Stegostoma tigrinum: one gene and its partner. The protein of the gene in region 2 interacts with the protein of the main gene of each other region in a pairwise test. Links are inferred from orthologs where the notes say so. Each region holds a gene or a part of one and is shown on either strand. Other genes may lie near its edges.

Region 1 (7,843 bases), on a different chromosome or scaffold from region 2:
AATGATCTTGATACAAGAGGCTGAGGACAGGTGCTCTTTTGTCTGAAACTAGCTGTATAGTCATTTCCATGATTAGAGTTCGAAAACTGGAAGGGAGCAAGTGCAGGCTTTCATAGCTAGCAGAAGTTTTGTCTCTTTGATTTAAGATATGTTCTTCCGTCTTGAGGAGATATTCTTCCATTTGACAATCTGATCCCGTAACTGGGCAACATTTGCTAAACAATACTGAGTGTTCTAAGAATTAACTGACAATCAACAATATAAGGTCGTGAGTTGGTCTCGCAGAGTGGAGCACTTTCATGCACTAGAAAATGTTAAACACAGGTACCTGTTATTTGCAGACAAAACGTACAGATATTGCACAAACTTCAATTAAACAAAATAGAGGACAGATATTTTCTAGCTCTTCCTCGGATAATGTCTTGAATAATCAGTGTCAACCTGATTGGTTTAAATTTATACAAAGCTTGGCAAATTAACTGTTAGTCATCATTTAACTAGTACATTATCTATGGCAACATCATATCAAGCATTCAGTACTCTACTCATTCAGTTTAAAATACTATTCCCTTCTAAATTAGTATTCTTGCAAATTGAGTGAAAGGTGAAAATCTTCAAAAGAATGTGTCTTTTTCATCAAAAGACAAGTTAATACTTAATAATCACTATTATAATTCTAATATTATCTTAATGATGGTGTTAATTCTCATCATAATTCTTAATATTAATGGTGGATAGACAATGCCAAGAGTGATTCATCACTGAAAGGAGTACATATGATGGAAGCAGCCAGACTAGCTCAGAACAGATAGTGATGGAGTAAATTAATTCAACCTCACTGTCACTGCTAAGCTGAATTGAAAGGCTGCAGTTATTGGGCAGACCGATGTCATTACCTATGGTCCCCATGACACACTGTCCTGTATTGCCCTTCCCATTCCCAATCACAGTCTCAGCTTCAGCTAGACTGTTTGCACCTTCTGTATTTTGTATAATGTGAACTGATTCTCTTTCCCTAACCTTTCCAACACAATAACATCATCTGCCTCTGCAGTGTTTGCACTTGCTGTTGAAAGCATGTCACCACCAAACCTGACTACTTCAGTATTTTCTTGGCCACCCTCCTCTTCATCACCACTAAATGTCAACTCATTCAAAATCTGGCTATCTTATTCTGCATCAGGTCCCATTCAGTCATCAACTCTTGCTGCTCTGATGTAGATTTGCTCCCATCCCACAACAATTCAGAATTACACAGATAGAAAGAAAAGTGCAGGAACAGTCCTTTCAGTTCTTTGGTCAATGTTCATGTTCATTACTAGCTTCCTTCTACCTACCTATCTCCACCTAACCCCATCAGTCTTCAGTTTCTTTCTCTCAGATGTATCTTTCTATATTTCCCATAAATATTTCTATACTATTCACCTAATCTACTCCATATTGTAACTGGGTACACGGTCTAAATCACAGATTATTGTTGTTGTGGCACCATTGTCTTACCAGATAATAGGGCTGCTCTCATTAGAGAGAGACAACTGGTAGTTATTTAACCTGAGGGCCACTGTACATCAGGCAAGGGGAAGAGGTTGAGGACAGTCCTTCATGGTAACCTATTGAACCCATGCTGTCAGCATGACACTGCTTCGCAAACCAACTGGCCAGTCGACTTGCTAAACTGACCCCCAATTACAGATATTAATGTTATCTAGTTCAGAATCCTACCACAGGTGAAAACTTTATTTTCTATGTTGTCATGATTTTAAAATTGCCATCCTCACGTTTAAATCACTTCACACCTCCGCACTTCCTCACCTCTAACCTCCTTTAGATCTACAACCGTCTCCAAACACCCCGTTCGCCCAGGCCCCAGGTTCTGGAATTTCCTGCTAAACCACAGCTTCATCATCTCTACTAATATTTCCTTCTCTAGTGAAACAGCACTAAGCAGTGCCTTTATTGTAGAATACAAGTTAATAGAAGTATGTAAATAAGGTAATTTAAAGCGCGATTCTGAAGTGATCGAAGATCAAGGAGATAGTTCTTGAGGCAGAATCTTGACTTGTATAGTTAATCTTTGTTTAAACAAAAATGTCACGTTTGACCACTGACTAAAAGACTCTTGCAAAACTAAATAATTTCTGTCCGAGACCAAATCATAATATACTTATTAATTTTAAAATATTGATGTTTATACAGCATTTTGTACGAAAAGAAAGTCCAGACAGAACTTTACAAAAGGTGGAATCCAAAAACGAGAATAAGTGATTGATACAATTTTACTTTCACTGGCAGAATCTCTAACTGGGGAACATGATTACAGAATAAGATGAGACTCATTCAAAACAGATGTGAAGGAATTCTGAACTCCAGAGAGTTGTGGAGACTACTACCCAGAATGTATTTAAAGAGGAAGTAGATTTTTGAAAATTTGAGTGCTATGAGACGCTACCACGAAGGATGTAGGTAAGCTATGATCCAATGGAAAAGATTAAAGGGGCTAAATGATCCACTCCTGTTCCTGGTTCTTATGTTCTTTACACTGCTATAAGGGAGTAATAAAACGCCCGCTAATATTGGTAAAACTAATCACTGATATAAATCTAAATGCTATCAGTTCCAAGTAAAACTTTCAGTAATCACTAACATAGTTTCATATCTGGAGTCATTGACTAAATGGAAACATCAACTACTGGTCTACTTTACAGCCCGCAAAGGCCCTCCCTCAGCAATGATCTGTAATGAGATATATAAAACTCTCATTAATCATTAGTTATATTTCAATTTTGCTTTTTTAAAATTTATAAACAAACCTGAGTGCGGCTAAACTCGGCCTTCACAACCTCTTGATGCCCATGGCAACCCAGCCGATTAAAAAGACCCCTTCTGCGACTGATTGATCTCCTGCCTGACTTTGAACTATAATTTACTGCCACCGTTCACCCATTTTGACCTGAAGAATCACTCGGACCAACGACATAGCCGTTAGTCCACCTTGTCCCGCTGTCCCACCGTCAAGGAGAGGCGGTGAACCGAAAGGATTAACTGGCTGTGCGCTCAGGCAGTGCCGAGGACAGCTGCGGCCTGCGTCCTAGGCCGGACCCCCACCCCCCCCCCCCGGGGCTAAATTTAAAAGCCAGTGTCGGGCTTGGCGCGGGGAGAGGCCGGTTATGGATGGGTATTGGGCTGTGCTCGTTGTTGAGTATCTGTGTGTCGCTGCTGTCACATGTAAGAGTAATTATAGGGTGGCCTGTGGGTCTCGGAGAGCCGGCGGGGGGCTGTTTATGAGCAGAGACCGAGAAAGAGCCTGATTTACTCTCAGTTGAGTGGCAGGTCGTGGGCGCCGTCCAGTTTTCGGCGATGTCTGACGGCGTTGTCAGGGAAGGCTAACGCCTCTTTGAGCAACGCCCCCCCCCCCCCCCCCCCCAACGCTCCGAGCTGGGGGGAATAACAGTGTCTGCCTCCGCCTCATCTCTGAGAAATGGCTGGAAATGCAACTCAGAACTTGGGTCAACTGAAGTGAAGTCGTGTGCTGGCCTCCTCGTCAATAGTAAACTGTTTCTGGAAAGGTTAAGTCTGCCACAAAATTAAACTTGTCCCTCAGCGAAAAGCCCAGTAGAATCGTGCAGCACAGACCAGGCCCTTCGGCCCATCACGCCTGTAACGCCAAAGCTGGACCAAATCTACACTTTCCAACGCTACGCCAATAACTTTGAATGTTGTGGCATTTAAAACTGCATATGTTGGAAATCTGCAGCAAAAACAGAAATTGCTGGAAATACACACAGCAGGTTTGGCAGCATTACTGGGGGGGGGGGAACAGGTTGACATTCTTGTCCAATGAAAGGTTAAAAGATGAATCGTCATTAACTTGAAATGTGGAGTGTCTGTCTTTCTTTCTGCAGGTGTTGTCAGACATCCTTAGTATTTCCAGCACTTACTGTTTTTGTTTCAGTTTTGGCCCTTATGAAGGTGGGATGATCTATAGAAACCAACTCTTTGGCACCAACAAGACAGCCTAGACATCCCAATCTGACCTGGACTCCTTTGTCAGCATTTGGCCTATATCCCTTGTTCCTTCCTATTCATATACCCATCCAGATGCCTTTTAAATGTTGTGTTTATACGTGCCTCGACCATGTGCTCTGGTAGCTTGATCCAATAATGCATCACCCTCTGCATGAAAAAGTTACCCCTCAGGTTGTTTTAAATCTTCCCCCATCTCACTTTAAAGCTATACCATGTAGTTTCCCCATACTCTTGGGGAAAAGGCCTTGGCTATTCACCCTATCCATATCTCTCTTGACTTTATAAACCTCTACAAGGTCACCCCTCAACCTCTGATATTCCAGGAAGAGAAATCTCCAGCCAATTAAACATCTCCCTCCAGTCCTGGCAACATCCTTATAAATACTTTCTGCATCCTCTCAAGGTTAACAACATCCTTCCTACAGGAGGTTGACAAGAATTGTGTGCAGTATTCTAAAAGTGGCTTAACTAATGTCCTGTGAAGCCATAACATGCCTTCCGACCTCTAATACTCATTGGTACTGACCAATGAAGGCAATCGTCTGCTGACACTTCGTTTTCAAGGCTGACATTGACTCTGGAGCTTCTGAAACCATGTGTCATTTGTGGAGATGAAGTCCACAGCTCAAAATTGTCATCTTCATTGATGGGCAGCTGACATTTTCCATCAAGTCATGTATGGAGCAGCAGTCCTTCCATGTCAGCAGAGAAAGCATAAGTCACTGGTACGGAGAAAATGAATAAAACGGTAGGAGTTAAGCTCCATGTTTTATTCCATTTTGATCTGAAAATTGTTGGGAGCAGCCTTTGAAATGAATGATGCCTTTCTTTTTTTGTAATGGAAGGCCATATGTGGGGCATACAAAGAGAACGGTTTTTTTTTTGAGGTATCTGGTAGTGGCATGCCTCCTCACAACATTTGATTTGATCAGCCAGGTGCTAGGACTTGTAACCCACAAATGTGGCATCACAATGCTACCTTATTTAAAGAAGGCAATCTGAAAAGAATTCACCATATTAAAATGGTACCATCTAGTACAATGTATGGCTGCATCACTGTAGAGCTGATAAAATGAGAAAAGGAGCTCCTGAAAATCAAAATCTAGCCCTTGAAGAAAAATGATCTTGACCTCAATTTAATGCATTACAATATTCAGTGACAAACCACTGACACCAGTTACAAGAACTCGCAGCACTAATATTCTCAAGTTCAGAAAACACTCAGTGCTAGTGCTACTGCTACTCCTACTAGGTTCTGGGAACACACAGCCCTAATACTCCTAGGTTTAGGGAACATGCAGTGCTAATGCTTCAAGTTCAGAGAATGTTGGGCCCTTGTGCCACTCATTTAAGAGAAAGCATTTTTTTCTTTCAAGTTGGGGAACACAGTGCTCACATTTGCCTTTCTCAGGCCTTTCTGTTCCTGCACAATAGTTAAGATTGTTGTAGTTAATTTCTGTCATCTGTTATTTTAAAATGCATCACCTCACATTTGTTAAATTTCATCTGCCATGTTTTTGCCCACAACATCTTTCTGAGTTCTTCCATGATCCTCCTCACTGTTTATATTTTGAAATATTTTGTCATTGCAGACTTTTAAATCATGCCTTGTATGTTCAGCTACAGGGTTTAAAAAAAGTGTGATCCTGATTCTGAGAACAACTGGGGAACATCACTGTATACCGTCCTTAGCCAACTGTACATGTCCAGACTTTAGTTTTACTAACAATTCTATTATTTAGAACTTCTATCACATGCCTTTTGGAAGTTCATATAAGATTCAATTACTCTTACCAACTCTCTCCATTACTTGTTCAAAGAACTCAATTTTGTCAGAAGTTGGTGATCAATTTGGAAAGGTATGTTTTTCTGTGTGCCGGACTGTTGGCCAAATTTCAGGTATCTTCCGTATAATTAGTTATAAATGAGGTCTATTATTCTCACATTAATGTTTCAATATTACAATTGTGATTGAAGAAAGAAAAACTTGTATTTATATCACATCTTGTCCCAGGACATCTCAAAGTACTTTACAGCTAAGCATGTTAATTTGAAGTGCAATCACTGATGTTAAATAGTAAACGTGTAATCAGTTTGAACCCAACAAAATTCCATAAAGAACAATATGATGTTGACCACAATTTTTTGAGGGGTCTATATTCGCAAAGATAGCTGCTTTTGTTTGGAAATTGTTATGGCACCATTAATATTCATTTGTGAGAGCAGGCAGGGTCTTGGTTCAGCATCTCAGCTGAAACACAGTATTTCTGACAGTTCAGCACTCTTTTTGTACCAAATTGGAACATTACCCTAGTTTTTTCAGCTTGATTTTCTGGAATGGGACATGAACTCAAAGCCTGCTGAGTGAGAAGTCTTCCCCACTGAGTATGCCGATACTTCAAAAGAAAGTACTTCTTTGGTTGATAATTGCATTGGCATGCTCTGAGGTCATCAAAGACATGATATAAATGCAAATGCTTCCTCCTTTCCTGCTTTCTCTTTATTCTGTGCCTATTTTAAGGAATAGTTTGATGAATTGATTTCCTAGACATGTCATTATGGCAGTTCTTTAAGTGGCATTCTGCCATTTCCTACTTACATGCTATGTGAAATCTCACATCTTCAGCTTTTCTTGACATCTAGCTGCCCTAGAATTCAAGTAGTAAGCTTTTAGATCTTTACAGATTTCAGTAGCATGATATTTGGAAGAAAATTTTCTCCAGAATATGCTGGAAAAGACTTAGTGGGAGAAGGGGACACAGATGGGAAATTTCTATGCATCTCCTAAATTTGAAAAAAAAATTCTTACCCAATTCCACCTATTAAATACTGACTCATACTGAGTGTGGAATGTTACTGTTTTCTGTTTGTGCAGGTAATGATCCTTTGCACTCTGAGTCCTGGCTTCGATCAGCGAGTTTGAACAGACATATTGCAAAGAATGGATTTCATAGGTAAGAACTGACAGATTATAAATATATTTCTGCATTATTTTAACTCGAGATGACTAATGGAAGCAGAATTGGTTGAAGCAGGGCGCTTTTCCAAATCTTGTCTTTGTCATATTAGCATTCATTTAACTGGACAAATTAGTAAATAATGTAACAGATTTTAGGGCTGAGAATGTATTCTTTAAGAAAAGGCACATATGGATTATTAAATAGAAAAAGTCTGTCATTATACAGAAGTGCGTAATGCCGAGTTAGAATTATGTTAAAGCGCACAAAGATGCTGTATGTTACCAGGCTTTTGAATAGACCTCTAATGTTAATGTTGATCCTCCCTGTCTGCACGTTCTCGGCAGCTGTAACATTGTATCCTGTACTCTGTTCTCTGTTATATCCTGTACTCAATGAAATCAAATCTGACAGGCATTTATCACAGTGGCAACGGTGGGGGTAAGAGGAGCTAGAATAAATTTCAGAATAAAATTCAGAAAATTGGTACTCTTGGAAATACGTTGAAGGAAATAAAACACAAGAGATGCATACAGCAGAGGGTGAAAACTAATGAACTAAAAAGTAGCAACTATCTGCAGGGTGCATATAGTAAGGCAGTGAAACCACTATGATAAATATATTTGTCCTATGTAACTTTGAGGAATACAACTCATTGAAGTTTTAGATCTTTCCAGATTTCAGTAGCAAGATATTTGGAAGAAATTTCTATGCATCTCCTAAATTTGAAAAATATTCTTACCCAATTCCACCTATTAAATAGTGACTCATACTGTGTATGGAATGTTACTGTTCTGTGTTTGTACAGGTAAAATCATTGATCAGTTTCTTCTATATAGGCTACATAATTCTACTAGATG
Region 2 (8,008 bases):
AGAAACGGCTTGGTCACAAACATACCAGGCTGTAGAGGTTAGTGTATGACAGTGTAATTGATGGTATTCCTGTACACAATTCCAGTTAATGAATAAGACATACATTTTGCACTCATGCACACTTCTTCCTCGCTCCTACATTGTAATTTAAGCCACTTTTTTTTTTAAACTCTACATATTTTCACTTCTCTTTTTCCAACTATCCCTATGGGTGTAGTGTTATTCAAGATTTGGGAATATTTACACATGCCAAGTATTTGGATAAATTTTATATCTAGGCAAGGCAAAAAAAACCTCTGTAGTAACTGAGATAATGGGAACTGCAGATGCTGGAGAATTCCAAGATAATAAAATGTGAGGCTGGATGAACACAGCAGGCCAAGCAGCATCTCAGGAGCACAAAAGCCGGGCCATCTCCAGCATATCCCTCACCTTCCTGAACCCTTCAGTCTCCATCTCAGGCAACCAGCTTGTAACTGATGTCCATTTCAAGCCCACCGACTCCCACAGCTACCTAGAATACACCTCCTCCCACCCACCCTCCTGCAAAAATTCCATCCCCTATTCCCAATTCCTCCGCCTCCGCCGCATCTGCTCCCACGATGAGACATTCCACTCCCGCACATCCCAGATGTCCAAGTTCTTTAAGGACCGCAACTTTCCCCCCACAGTGATCGAGAACGCCCTTGACCGCGTCTCCCGTATTTCCCGCAACACATCCCTCACACCCCGCCCCCGCCACAACCGCCCTAAGAGGATCCCCCTCGTTCTCACACACCACCCTGCCAACCTCCGGATACAACACATCATCCTCCGACACTTCCGCCATTTACAATCCGACCCCACCACCCAAGACATTTTCCCATCCCCTCCCGTCTGCTTTCCGGAGAGACCACACTCTCCGTGACTCCCTTGTTTGCTCCACACTGCCCTCCAACCCCACCACACCCGGCACCTTCCCCTGCAACCGCAGGAAATGCTACACTTGTCCCCACACCTCCTCCCTCCCCCCTATCCCAGGCCCCAAGATGACATTCCACATTGGCAGATGTGCAGGTGAACCTCTGTTTAATGTGGTATACTGCATCCACTGTACCCGGTGCGGCTTCCTCTACATTGGGGAAACCAAGCGGAGGCTTGGGGACCGCTTTGCAGAACACCTCCGCTCAGTTCGCAACAAACAACTGCACCTCCCAGTCGCAAACCATTTCCACTCCCCCTCCCATTCTCTAGATGACATGTCCATCATGGGCCTCCTGCACTGCCACAATGATGCCACCCGAAGGTTGCAGGAACAGCAACTCATATTCCGCCTGGGAACCCTGCAGCCTAATGGTATCAACGTGGACTTCACCAGTTTCAAAATCTCCCCTTTTCCCTACTACATCCCTAAACCAGCCCAGTTCGTCCCCTCCCCCCACTGCACCACACAACCAGCCCAGCTCTTTTCCCCCCCCGCCACCCACTGCATCCCAAAACCAGTCCAACCTGTCTCTGCCTCCCTAACCGGTTCTTCCTCTCACCCATCCCTTCCTCCCACCCCAAGCTGCACCCCCATCTACCTACTTACCTCATCCCACCTCCTTGACCTGTCCATCTTCCCTGGACTGACCTATCCCCTCCCTACCTATACTCTCTCCACCTATCTTCTTTACTCTCCATCTTCGGTCCGCCTCCCCCTCTCTCCCTATTTATTCCAGTTCCCTCTCCCCATCCCCCTCTCTAAAGGGTCTAGGCCCGAAACGTCAGCTTTTGTGCTCCTGAGATGCTGCTTGGCCTGCTGTGTTCATCCAGCCTCACATTTTATTATCTCTGTAGTAACTGGTTCCATTATGTTCCTGAAACACATTCTCCTGGCATTCAGAAAGCAACCTAATTTCACACCTTGTTTTATGATTTTATGGATAAATAATAAAATGATTAGTAGGATCAAAATATTTTGCATTAATTGTTGAATTAGCTCTTTCTACAGTAAAGTTCTGCTTTTATAATTCCAGTTTACTTACTGGCACAAAACATTGTGCATCATAATGCCCGTTGCAAGTCCAATGTTTGCTTATCTGCACGCTTCAGGGAAAATAAATTCTGAAGAAAATTTTAAACAATTTAAAAAGTATCTAAATGAATGTGGATACCTTCCTTTAAAACAATGTGTTTCTGTTCCTGAAAATATGTATGTTTGCAAGTGGACATATTTGTACATTGGTTATTGGAGTGTTTGAATGTGGTATTCATTGGTACAATTGAAACTTGTTATTTACCCTGACTAAATTAGTTATTACGTTATTAAACATATTAAGATGTTCTGCTATATTTACCAGTTTGAAGAAATGCTATTTATACATTTAATTTGGTTCCAGGTCACATTTTTCGAAATACTAATCAACACATTTGAATATGTGAAGCAGAATCTTTTTGGTTTTGCCTCCCTCCACAAATTTATTTTCAGGCTATTGCAACACAGTGTAGCTGGAAAAAGAACTGACTTAAATTCTTCTGGTCTACTACTTATCTATTACCACATGTACAATGCACCCAAGGCCCGATTAAATTATGCACTTTTGTGTAAGATTTCAATCACCTACAGTACTCTATTTGTAAGTTGAAAATAATCCCTCAATAATTTGTTTGCAAAATAAATTTAATGTCCTCAAATTTGTAGAACTCAAAGTGCAGCAGGAATTGCTATGAAATTTGCACAGCCTTGCTCTTTCCAGGGAAATATACAATTATTAAAGAAGGGATTGAGGCAAAACCTCTTATGAGGCTTTTGATATAGTTGTCAAGATACTGATTGTTTTGAACTCTTCTTGTGCTAGATAATATGAAAATTTCATTAAAAAACTACATGGTGAATACAATTACTGAGATATTTTTCACCTTGGCATCTGTGTTTGTTGACAGGATTGTGAAAAATAAATGAATCCCTGTAGTATCATGGATGACAAAGTGTACTGCTAATAAGCTGTTTCCCTGCAGCCACACTCATGTTTTAAACATATTTTCCCATTAAAAAGATAAAATAAGTTAAAATGTCTAAAATCACAGCTAGTTTTGAGGACACTATGCTACAAGTAAATTGCTCACATCTTAGTAACTGACAAGACCCTCGCACTGTATTGGAAGTCACTGGTCTAGGTATTCAGCTGGGGTATAATCAGCTATCCTCCTATCCTCCTGGCTATGAAGAGCAAGAAACAAAATAAATACCGTATGTAGGCAGTTATCATTTTTGAAGTAAAATGTGAAGAGTTTTGTAAAGATGACCTCCCAGTTGACAGAGGCTGCATCAATCAGTAGTGTGTTGGAGTAGCCTAGTCTAAAGGCATGAATGAGGGTGTCAGCAGCAGGTGAGCTGTGGTAGGGTGCTGCAATGTGTAACAAGGAAACTGTTTGAAGTGGGTCTGAAATAATCTACTTCTTTGGTACTGGCAGTTGGAGTGATTGTAATAAGGTCAGCCAGGTGGACCTCTGAATAGGAGTCCCCTGATTGGGGCTGTTTAATCTGGTACAATCAGGATCCCAGGCTGGCACAAACAGGAGTGTCACAGGTTCTGTTCATGCTGAGAAAGCTGGTTCAGTGTCAAAGGTTTTGCATATATCAATAAAGAGTGACTTGGTGATGGCATACTGGCCTCTTGTGGAATTATTTCCAATGTCTCCACTTTCAACTGTATGCAGTTGGGAGAGGTGATGATTCAGTAAATTTGGAAGTTGTCATTACTATATGCTGTGCTTTTGGGCAGTGTCTCTAAGGGGCAGTATGCACAAGGAGGACGTGGTCAGAATCTTCAGGGACATTAGAAGTGTTGAGTGGACAGATGAGCCATTGCAAGTAGTAATCTTATTTAGATAGATAAGACTGAAATTCGAAAGCAATCCCACCCAGCTCAGAACAGAGAAGCATTGAAGAAGCATCGTGTGGTTAATCACAGACTGTATGTCAAAGAGGAGGGATAGGTATTTCTGTCAGAGTTATGTAGGATGTCATCTGTAACTGATAAGAGATGTTTTGTACAATTGCAAGCATTGAAATTGGGCTTAATAAATTTTGACAAGTTAAAGCATAAGACAGGGGAGCAGAATTGGGCCACTTACTCTATTGCAGCTGCTCGACTGTTCAGTGCTGGCTGATGTTTCTGTATCCTATTCTCCTACCACCTTCCTGTAACTCTTGATCCCCTGATTAATCAAAAACCTGTCCTCTAACACACGCAATGACTTGGTCTCCACAGCCTTCTGCTGCAAAGAATTCCACACGTTTAAATCCCACAAACTACAGTGATGGAGATAGTAGGGACTGCACGTGCTGGAGAATCTGATATAACCAGGTGTAGAGCTGGATGAACACAGCAGGCCAAGCAGCAGGAAGGCTGACGTTTCGGGCCTAGACCCTTCTAGGCCCGAAACGTCAGCCTTCCTGCTCCTCGGCCTGCTGTGTTCATCCAGTTCTACACCTTGTTATCTCAGCTACAGTAATGGGTCTTGAACAACAGCCCCAGCCTCTTAGTTAAGTGGCATTACCATTATATCGCTCTCTCCCAATTCATTTTAAGAATTACTACAAAACCTGAGCTCTGATTTGAAAGGCTGGGGGCTTTTTGTTTTCGAGGAGTTGCCGAGTTATAGGCGTGTGAAACAACTGAGGATGGAATCAATAACACTAGTTGGCTAAGTGAGGACCAGGAGGAGGAATTGGCAATAGAAAGTCTCCTATGAATACAATTAAATGCACTGGAGAGGAACATCGTGGTTAAGATGAACTCTGTATAAAAATGCAGAATACATTCTAAGCCACATCCACAATTCGGTACGTTAATAGAGAAATTTGCCGTGCTTTGCAAACAAATTACGACTAATTTTAAAATAAATGGTGAGCGTTTAGGTTTTATTATATAATAGTAGGAAATAGTGGCACATTTTAAAGAAGTGTTCGGTACCTTATTGCATTCAGTGCCTGCGTCGCCCTAACCGCCGCCAACAGCGCTACTCGCGTGCTCGGTTTAATAGACCGTTACTGCTCCATTCGCGCTTTACAGTTCGTCAAACCGCCTCGAGCGTCAGCAACCTTCTTTCATTTAACACGCACGCGCCAGCGATTATTTTCAAAACATTGCACTAGACTCTATATATTGTTTTGGGGGGGGAGAGAAATAAAAAAGTTGTCAAAGTGCCGCTGTGAATAGAGCACTAGCAAAGCTTGGGTGGTTGTCTTGGTAAAATGTCGGCGGATGAGGACACAGAGCTGCGGGACTTGCTGGTGCAAACCTTGGAGAACAGCGGCGTCCTCAACAAGATCAAGGTAATGCGCCATCACCCTAGGCCGCAGGCCGTCGTCGCCATTTGTTGCGGAACCGCTGGTTTGCAGAGGCCTGAGGAGCCGGTGAAGTTTAAGTCACCGGATAACGCGTTAGTTTAATGGACGAACTTAGAGGCAGTCGACAGCCCATGGCTTTGGGGTTTTAGCTCATGTCGATAGCTCTTCAACCACAAGCAAGGTGAAGGTTTCTCATTATTTCAGATCTTAACACTTGCCTCCCCTCCCATCCTTTATCATCAAGATAAATGCCCCTTTTTTAAAACCCAGATGCTATCAGTTCTGAGGAAGGGTCATCGGACTCAAAACGTCTGCTTTCTCTCCATTGATGCTACTAGGCTTGCTGAGGTTTTCCAACAATTTTTGTTTCTGAGACCCTACCCCTCGCCCTGACTTTTTATTTAAGGTCTTTTACAGTTGCTCCATCCAACTCAGTACGTTCTCTCTACTCCTCCCCTGCACACCAAGTTCTCATCACAGAACCTTTTTAAGGCCACAACACAACATTGAGAGAAATCAAATGTGTCAATTCTTGCAAGGAAGTGAATTGAGCCCAGTAGTAGAAGAAATTTGCTGGTTTCAGTGTGCTAAATAGATTCATGCTTTTAGCCTAATTAGCTTCACTTTTATGTAAGGCAGTCATCTTTCTGACTGTCCATTTGGCTTGAAACTTGGAGTACGTGCAGACGCTACCTGAAGACCCTTGAAGCACCATTGACACTTTTTGAGATGGATCCTCTGCATCAGCTGGGAAAACAGGCACACAAGCAAAAGCATTCTTGAAGCCGCTAACAGCCTAGACTATGATCACAAAAAAACTCTGTTGGGCTGCCATGTGCTTAGGATGCCTGAAATCCAACTTCCAAAACAAATCTTCTGTCAGCGAAAGCAGTTGCATAAGAGGACAAGGTATTTCAAAGACTCCCTTAAGGTTCGTTTCCTTCAAGAAATACAATATAGATGTCAATGCATAGGAGACACTCATTTAGAAGAAACTGACTTGGAGGAAACTCGTGTGAAGGGACAGTATTCTTTGAGCACACCTATTAGCAAGAGGAAGTATGGAAAAGAAACCGGGAGAAAGAAATGCCAAGTTCTCAAGGCCCAGGATCATTTGGCAGAAATACCTGTCAAAATGTATGGTTGGAGATATGGATGTAGAATCAGGCTCATCAGTTGTACGAAGATCTGCAGAACCCATGATCATTGAAAGTGAAATTTTGTATATGGACAATCATACTTGTTAGTTAATAATTATCGAGGACAATGATACATGTGTTGTATAGAGGAAGTCCTAGATTGTGTGTGGTATAATTTTGCCATTGATCCTAAATCAATGACTGGGATAGAAGACTACTATGAAAAAACAGTGAATTTATCTGTGTCAGTGTCATCACAATAACAAAGTCTGGCATTTTTTTTCACTTGAGAAAACAGCAATAAATGATATAAAAATGGAAAATGTTGTGTAGACTTAATATATCAAGCAGCATCTATTGAGGGGGGGAAAAGAAGTTAATGTTTCAGGTCAATGACCTTGCATTAGAAATGATTTTATAGAACCAACTGAAGCAGGAGTAGGCCATTTGGCCACTAACTTACTGTGACATTTGTTAAGATTGCTATTGTAGAGTCCTTAGTTCTACTTTCCTGCATGTGCCTAAAATGCTTTCACTCATTTGTCAATCAAGGATATGACCTGAAAGTTGGAACTAGGAGCAGTAGGTAATGTGGTTGTTGCTGAGAAAGGAGATCTGGCCGTGAAAGTGATCTCTGGTAGACATCTGATTGATCATGAGAAGGGATGCAAAACAATAAAAATGGTAAAAGAGACAAATGGAACTCCCATTGGAATCATAGAATCCCTACATTGTGGAAACAGGCCCTTCCGCCCAACAAGTCCACACTGAACCTCAGTGCGTCCCAACAAGGCCCATCCCCTTATAATCTCCGAAGCTAGGCATCCCTGAACACTGGACAATTTAGCAGGGCCAATCCACCTAAACTGCACAGTGGGAGGAGACCCACGCAGACACAGGGAGAATGTGCAAATTTCACACAGACACCTGAGGTTGGAATTGAACCTGGGTCCCTGGTGCTGTGAGGCAGCGGCACTGACCATTGTGCCACCTTGCCACCCCTAAATTGGAGGGAACTTCTTTCAAGATAGGCATTCCTGGAAGAGAAGTGTCTCTATACTTAACGGTGATGCATTTTCTTTTGTTTTATTTCATCCTTCTAGAATCCATATTAGGTGTTGATGTTCATATTTGATATTCATAATTACAAGTAGAAGCTGATCCTGTTATGATGCCGCATCGAATGAGATAGACAATAAGGGGATGACTAAAATTTTGGTGAATGTGGAGAATATTAAGGAGAATGAAACTCTGGATGAATGGGTTCAAAAAGGATATCTAAAGTTTTGGACCCATGAAAGCCAGGTAATTGGTCACATGAGAGGGAAAGATGCTATAAAGATCGGTCAGTGAAACAAAATCTTGGAAAGATTTGCATCATCTTTCCTATTTGCAGGGAGACCAGGATTGAACACAGGATTTTGGAAAGAGTTTTTAGGACTAGCGGGTGTTAAGAGAGAGAGTTGGAGATCTGTATATGTATTTAAAGTGTTATAGTCCTGTTCCTGCATCCTCTTTAAATGTATACGAGTTGGGATGTCATGTTGCAGCT

Evidence for each region. The genes of interacting proteins can lie anywhere in the genome.
Region 1: the proteins of cep43 (region 2) and cep19 interact in binary tests that used the Homo sapiens proteins (3 or more experiments, as listed by UniProt). The two-hybrid records come from large-scale screens. The link is inferred for Stegostoma tigrinum from reciprocal best matches to the Homo sapiens genes CEP43 and CEP19.

Annotation. Positions count from the first base shown.
Region 1 is NC_081367.1:5,361,635-5,369,477, reverse strand, and holds the start of cep19 (centrosomal protein of 19 kDa), read right to left. Parts: upstream 3,004-7,843; 5' UTR 2,811-3,003; intron 1-2,810. Other genes in the region: pigx (phosphatidylinositol-glycan biosynthesis class X protein), read left to right, coding at 3,168-3,225, 6,902-6,980. UniProt on the Homo sapiens protein: Required for ciliation. Recruits the RABL2B GTPase to the ciliary base to initiate ciliation.
Region 2 is NC_081362.1:27,317,651-27,325,658, reverse strand, and holds the start of cep43 (FGFR1 oncogene partner), read left to right. Parts: upstream 1-4,994; 5' UTR 4,995-5,221; coding exon 5,222-5,302; intron 5,303-8,008. UniProt on the Homo sapiens protein: Required for anchoring microtubules to the centrosomes. Required for ciliation.